Linked DNA regions of Drosophila melanogaster. The protein of the gene in region 2 interacts with the protein of the main gene of each other region in a pairwise test. Each region holds a gene or a part of one and is shown on either strand. Other genes may lie near its edges.

Region 1 (3,754 bases), on a different chromosome or scaffold from region 2:
GGCAAATATATTGAGAATCAAGCACACGTACCGAAAGTAACTTAAAGATTTTACTGTGTTTCCAAAACCAGCCTTCATTCTGTGCAAAAGATAAAAGCTCCTTCCCACATCAACAAATAGGGTTGCCATGCTCATGAAAATCCCAAATGCCAAATAGAATGTAAGCCAGAAGAAATATCGGTGATTATTGTGTCCGATGCAAGTGGCTGCGAAGATGCAGTGGTGGTCTCGCTTCAAAATGCAGCATTTACACAGTGCACAGTGCCAGGATCGTGGAGGCATCAGTTTCTGACAGATATCGCAATAATGCCACAGGTGCTCCGTTCCCGGTTTCGGAATTTGCCGCTCCTGAGGCAGACTTTTCACTGCTGAGCTTGTACGGTAGCAGGCCAGCAAGTTTCCCAGGATATTGTATGTTGTAAAAATCGCTGATATCACAAAGAACTTATACATAAAACCATCATGCACATCGGGGGCCACATAAAAGACCTGCAGCGTGAAGAAAAAAACCGTGCTCACCAGTAAAAAAATCACTGACAAAGGATGTCCTATGCTCACGGCCTTCTTAGGATAGAGATTGGCATATTCGCGGCACCAATCATTTACGATACACATGATTGTAGGATTTTGAATACAACACCGTATTTTCCACAACTTGACATTAGATGAAAATAAGTTATGATTGGCTTGTTAAAATCGATATATATTTTTCAATAATTTAGTAATACGTCTATTAATTTAGTGAGACTGCTTCATCTGCCAATGTGCACCGTCATGGGGCAAAGGACTCTTCAGCAAGGGCGATATAAAAGTCCAAAGTCCTCGTTGGCCCATTATTGTCTGGCAGTTCTTTCGGAAACCCAGATCGTAGGTGCAATCAAAAATATTATAGTAGGTAGAGTTTTGGCTTAAAATCTGCATTTGATATGCCAACATAAAGGCAGGCATATAGCTGGCGCTTATATTCAAGAGGAAGGCAATGGTCTCAAAAGTATTGCCAGTATAATTTTGGAAAAAAGTCCTAGTTATTAAATTAAAAATCACAGACGAGAGACTCATGAAGTTACCGCCATTCTGCAGGATAAACATACAAAATGTTGCAAAGCTTGTGACTAAGCCGAGCGTTAAATAAAATGTGAACCAGAAGAAAAAGCGTTGATTATTGTGTCCAATGCAAGTGCCCGTGAATATACAGTGGTGGTCCCGTCTCAAAATGCAGGTGTTGCACAAAACGCAGTGCCAGGATCGTGGCGATCTCAGCTTTTTACACGATTCGCAATAGTGCCACAGGGGCTCATCCTCTGGATTCGGGCATCGGGAGTCCTTGGACAAGGTGTTTACCGATGAGCTAGTCATATAGCAGGCCAGCATGTTACCAAGTATGTTGTGCGTTATGAAGGTGACCAATATCCAGTAGAGCTTGTAAGCAATGTCGCCAAACACTTTGGGCGCAATGTAAAACATCTGCAGTGAGAAGAAGAAAGCTGTGCTGCACAGGACGAAAACTATCGAAAGTGGATGCACTATCCTCACAAAGTTCTTCGGGTAGCGATTGGCAAAGTAATGGCAAAATCTATTCACGTAGCACATTTTTTAGGATTTTGAAAACTTCTGTTGTAAATTATAGACTAAATAGAAACATTTACATCACAGAAGAAGAAACGCCAACCCGACATATTATAATAGAATTTATTCGCTATCTTATATTCAAAGTTTTTACAAACAAAATTTACACTGTCTGCTTCTGGAACCACTGAGTGCCATCGGTAGGAAGAGGACTTGAGATCGTTGGAGAGAAAAAAATCCAGAAGCGCCGTTTTCCCAAGACCATATCAAAATTTCTTCTCCAACCAACATCATAGCTGCGATCGAGCATCTTATAGCATGTACTATTCCGATATACCATTATCATTTGAAAGACGAACATGAAGAGGGGGACGCCAAAAAGAAATAAATTCAGTTTGAAAAGGTTGGCGATTGTGTACTTCCATTTGAAATCAGCATCTTGGGTTGTATCCTGGAACATTAGCAACAAAGGATCGACGACCAAAAAGGCCTTGTTTGTCCAATTCAAAATGCCATTGTAGACGAGCGCCTGTCCGCTGCCAAAGCTCAGGTGAAACAAGAAGGCAAGGAAATACCTCTGATTTTTATGGCCAATGCAACTGGCAAAGAAGGTGCAGTGGTGATCCCGCTTCAGAATGCAAATGTTGCACAAACTACAGTGCCAGGACCTCGGTGGCACCAGCTTTTGGCATGTGGAGCAGTAGTGCCACAGGTGAGCCTCACCTGCCACAGGATACTGTCTTTCCAGAACTAAGCTATCGACTGAGGTATTGGTCATACAGCCGAGCCACCAGTTGCCCAATATATTGATGACTGTATAAATTCCCATAAACCAACACAATTTGTGCCATATACCATGGGGATCAGTTATTTGCGGCAAAACGTAGCATAATTCATAGACAAACAGCAATCCAATCAGACAGAGTAAAAATATTGCACAAAACGGATGAAGTAGGCCCATAACTTTTATGCGATGTAGTTGAAAGTGACGATGAAACCCTTCCTCGGCTCGAAAACACATTCTTCTACTCCAACCGCAAGTAGATCTTAATAAAACTCGAAATCGAAGCATTTATAAATGACAGACGTATTGTTAAATTTATCAAATAAATTATTTTTAATAGACTTTGGGCACCAGAACTGCCTTGATTTGGAAATATGTATCTAACTGACATAATCGCATCACCCACTGAATTGTAAAAATCTGGCATTGTATGTATGTGTACTTTGGTGGGTGGTTTCAAATTCAATTTCTTTTCCTTTTTAAGCGGATTATTGCGAAATTACGTTTTATAATTGCTGGCGTCATTTGTGAAGGCAGAAAATTTTTATTTAAGTGGCGCTTCTAAGTGAATTCTACAATTCAAAAGATTTGGCTTATGGAATGTTTTCACCTAAAAGTTTCTCAAATTTTTACTTCATTTTCAAAGCAGTATAGGCAAAACCTTGCTTATAAAGCAAGCTTATAAGCAGAAAATAAATTGAAATAAAAAAAACAATGGAGGGAAAAAGGGCATCAGCATGGCAAAATATGGTATTTTGCAGCAGCTGTATGTTGTATAAACAAAGAGCAGAATAAAAACAACGAGGAATGCATATCAAATACATGTAGGAAACAGCTGGGTTAAGTCGACTTCATCAGCCCAGCGACCGCAAAATGGCAGCTGTCGGCCAGGTTTAGACCGCAGGAACGAATGTTGTCTATTTCGCATAAATTTTTATGAATTATTAATATGAACTAAGCATTTTGAATGTGGCCTGGTCGGGTGGGAAAGCTGGTGAGGACGCGGTTTTTCATTTTAAGTTCACTGAGGTGTATGGCACACCTATTGAGGTGGTTTTTCTTTTTGCCGTAAAGTAGAGTGGCAGTTTGCTTTTCGTTTGCATAAAATATGTACGATGGGGCGGGGCGGGACTTTCCTCACTTCGTGGCTAAATGTGTTTGCCGTCTTTGGCCTAGACCGGAAGCAAACAAACAGCCATTTTGTGCTGCTATTCGACGCAGCCATTTCCGGCAGCCACTCGGCGCCGTCGATGTGTTTGTCAGTCAACCTGTGGCTTGACTTTCCCCCACTTTCGCTTAGCTCTTTCTTTGACTTTCTGTGGGCACTACGAGTCATTAGCATTTGCTTGGTGTAGGTGGAGGGGCATACAAAAAATGAGAATGGCTTGCGGAGTTGGCAACTGC
Region 2 (3,931 bases):
ATGGTGGTGTTGGTGGGTCCGCTGGCGGGGTTATGGTCGGGGGGAGGGTGGGGGGCGGACTACGAATGGGTCATTGCACTTTTGCAACGCACTCACAGATACGAGAGCATAGCATACAACACACAGATACAGATACATTTACAGGGCCGACAGATAGCAAAGCAAAAGGCAACATTTAAACGAGAATTGTGTAAAAAAGGCACGAAAAATTAGGCGAAAGCAAACAGAAAGAAGGCGAAACAGGAAAAGAGGGGAAGAGCGGCACAGGGGGAGCTGGGTGAAGAGCGGGAGAAGGCAAACAAGATACAGATACATCTGTGCATGTGTGCAAAGTGTGTGGGGGAAGTGGCGATGGGGGGCTACCAGTGCAACTGCAACTTTGCATGGGTCGGCCATTTTGTGATCGTTTTCGCTGGCGCAGATACAAAGATATAATCTTTACAGTGAGAGAAAAGTTTATTGACAAACCTTTTAGTGTAATTTACGAATTACATATATATTATATATATTAAATACCCCATAATTCTCTAAGAATATATGTTTTCTTTAGTTTTGCTTGTGAGAAAAGTCAAAATTGAGTTGTTGACACATAAAAACAGTGCGTAAATTAAATTTTTTCTGTGTGCTAAAGACTTTATTTCTATGGGGCGTATGGCGTCAGATATAAAACTGATGTTTGCAATGATCGTTTGTATGTAACTCAAATCGCGTTTCCCGGGCGACAGTCCCTTCACGTACATATGTACATATTTATTTATATGTATATGTAGATATGACAAAGTCGTTGCAGATCCGGCCGTAGATATGCATATGCATAGATATAGATACAAAAGTACATATGCTCTCCATGAAGCGCGCAGATACGAATGCGTTGGCTATAAATAGCGAGCCATGCCATTTGTGCCGCCAGCGCCACTCGAGTGTGGCGGTTGCAGTTGCAGTTTGCCGCTCAATGAACATGTGGAAATTCGGGAAATGGAAAGCCGACGACCACGCCCCCGTTAAGTACAGGCTAGCATTTTTCGAGCGGCGCATGGGGTGCATTTTCCACGATGTTTTCACCAAAAACACGCTCGCACACAAACGCACGCACAAATGCGTTATTTTATTTTTAGCAATTTGAGGGAAATTTCAAGTCGAGCGTTGTGAATTTTTGTTCGAATTTATACGGCCATGGTCACATGGCAAGGGAAGGTGGGGGCGAAACCGCCCTCCATAGAATACGTCTGTGTTGTACTTACCTTGTTTTTCCGCTGTTGTTTTATTCACTCCATGTACATATAGTATCTGCAAGATCCAGCGACGTTTTTCGGGGTTTGTTGAGTGCGTAGAACACGTTTTACAAATGTATCTGCTGGCTGATCAGAACGCCGATTCTAACCATAATTCGATTCACATTTTCGCACATAGTCTGGCCACGTTTTCACTGGTCCTAAGTCAGCCAACATTTTAACCGGCATTATTGTGTGTTTGCTTCGATTTTCACTATATTTCACTGCAGTTTTCTTTGGTTTTTTTTTTGGCTTGGATCGAAGTGAACTCTTTGCCTTCGAATGGCAAAATGACGCAAAGTTACTAAACAACGAAAAAAATAGTATGAAAAAAGGGCAATACAACTGATTCTCGGAAGTGTTTCAGTATTCACAAGCATTCGGATGGGCACATATAACCGTGTATCTGTGTATCTGTTAGTTCGTGTATCTCGAAGGGCGGGGCAGGGTTGGCAGCGGCGATTTACATGTGTCGCTCTGCTGTAAGTTCTGGACAGACCGCCAAACTTCTGCGGCGGTACGAGCACTGACCTTGAGTTCAGGCGTTTACCAAAGGGACTGCGAGTGGAACTGGGCTTCTCGGTTTCTCTGTTTCTGAGTGGGGACTGTATAGCCGACTGAATCTGTTTTTTAATTCTTTCGCCGATTCTCGACTGCAGAGAGAGAGCTCCGCAAAAATGGCGTGTGTGTAGAAAAAAAGCTTCGACTGTACATAATATACTAGTACATAATGCCACTGACTCACAAATTGAGCAAAAAAGCAAAGTTCCCAAACTAGCGAAAAAAAAATAAATATAAATTTGGGCCTCTGGAGGGGGGAAAGCTCTTTCGTCGAGCATAGAATTATCATCGGCCCTTGGGCCCACGTAAGAATTTTGCAAATATATCAACACAGTCATGAGTCGAAAACAACAATCGACAAATAAAAAAATAACCCGCCAGTTGGCCGCTTGTTTATCTGTGAAGCGCTTTTCAGGGTCACTCTTGATTATTACACAATTTTTGTTTACAGCAAAATGCGGCGCAAATTTTTGTAATCTATATTGGTATGTGTGTGTGTGTGCGTGCGTGTATGGTTTTGGTTCTCGAGTTGAGTTTGTTGTTTACCACGAAAACAAATTCGGTGGGCCAGGGTCAAAAAGCGGCTACGTGAAAATGCGGAAGGACGGATCGCTCAATGACAATTACAGTGAAAAGCCTTGCTAACCAATGAGCGCAGAATTGTTGTTCTATTTAAAGTGTAGAACCATTTAGTAAATGCAAAAAAAAAGATATTATGAAGTCAGAATCTTAAAAATGAGCTATCTATCTATCTATTTCTATCTCTCAGATAGATAAGTGGTGGAAGTATCTGATGGATTTAAAGGTAAAGGAAGCCCTTTAAATATTTTACCCCAGACGTGAAAGCAACAAGTTGCGTCAACAGAACCACAGCCCAAACCCAAATCCCACTCACATAGATACGTTTACACACACACTTTGGTGCGAAAGCACGCCAGAATTGAGTAACAATAACAACATTCCCGCCGTCCCTAAACTTGAACTTGAATTTCGCAGCGAAAACAAAAATTCAAGAGCAAAATGCCGGCAAAAAACAACAAAAAGCGTAAAAAAACAACGCAAAAACTAGTTGCAAACAATAACAATTTCGCGTAAACAGTCAGATGCTCTCGCTCCCTCGCTCTTTGGAACCGATGGTGACCGAAGTGGAGCCGAGGGTCTTCGGTTGCCGCTCGGCAAATTGTGCAAGCTTTCGATTCGCTTTTGCGACTCGCGAATTCCCCCGAAATTCGCAAGCCGACCAATCAGAGAGCATTTTTGCACACAACAAAAAGAGCAAAACGAAAGCTTTTCGCCAAGTGTGTGTGCGCTGCTTTGTCGCAAGTATAGGTGAGCGGGCTTTTGCTTATTTTTGGCACATCGCGTATCGCCATTTTTGCGCAAAAAGTCAAAAGCTGTCTTGACGTCGTGTTTTGTCGCTTTGAGGTGATTTAAAGAATCGCCAGACACGTGGTTCTTAGTTGGGGAATAGAACACGAATGCGCGGAGCTTACTGGGCGAAAGAATCTAACCGGGAGAATTCACCAGCCACGCAGAAGAGCTTTCTGGAAAGATCGGGAGCTATAAGACTTGTTGTGGTCTTGGTAATGACGTTTAAGATCTGGAAACATTACATATAGCATTTAGTTTTTCGATAACTTCTTAAAACTTACCTTTATTTAAAGAGTGGTTATACGATTTCGTATAAAGCTAATCGATCCATTATTGCCAACTTTTTAAAATATATAACTGCTTACATGTTTCTTTTTCTGGTATATGAATTACTGATAATTTCCTGTTTTTATTCAATATTAAGTGCGTGATAAGATCACTAAACCATTGTTACCATAACCTTGAATAAATTTAACATAGTTTACGAAAGTCTAGTGCGATTAGTATTATAACATTCTGCAAGAGAAAGCTTTTATAAATTGTTTATTCATTAAGCTTTGCACAATAATAGAGCAGAAGAGATTTCTTTCTGTTACTAAAATTTTGGCAATAAACAAATTCCGATGAATTTGCTTCTCTTATGTATATATGTAAGCTTTTCTATGCAAAGTATCTAGTCAGCTTTACTGACATTAGAATTTTGCGAAGCAAAGCTTTTTGAAAAGTTA

What was found.
Region 1: the proteins of rib (region 2) and CG17195 interact in a two-hybrid assay, tested with the Drosophila melanogaster proteins (one large-scale study listed by BioGRID).

Annotation. Positions count from the first base shown.
Region 1 is NT_033777.3:25,775,592-25,779,345, forward strand, and holds CG17195 (uncharacterized protein), read right to left. Parts: upstream 1,608-3,754; 5' UTR 1,591-1,607; coding exon 739-1,590; 3' UTR 685-738; downstream 1-684. Other genes in the region: CG17196 (uncharacterized protein), read right to left, coding at 1-615; CG4956 (uncharacterized protein), read right to left, coding at 1,730-2,638.
Region 2 is NT_033778.4:19,268,097-19,272,027, reverse strand, and holds the start of rib (ribbon), read right to left. Parts: upstream 1,951-3,931; 5' UTR 1,242-1,950; intron 1-1,241.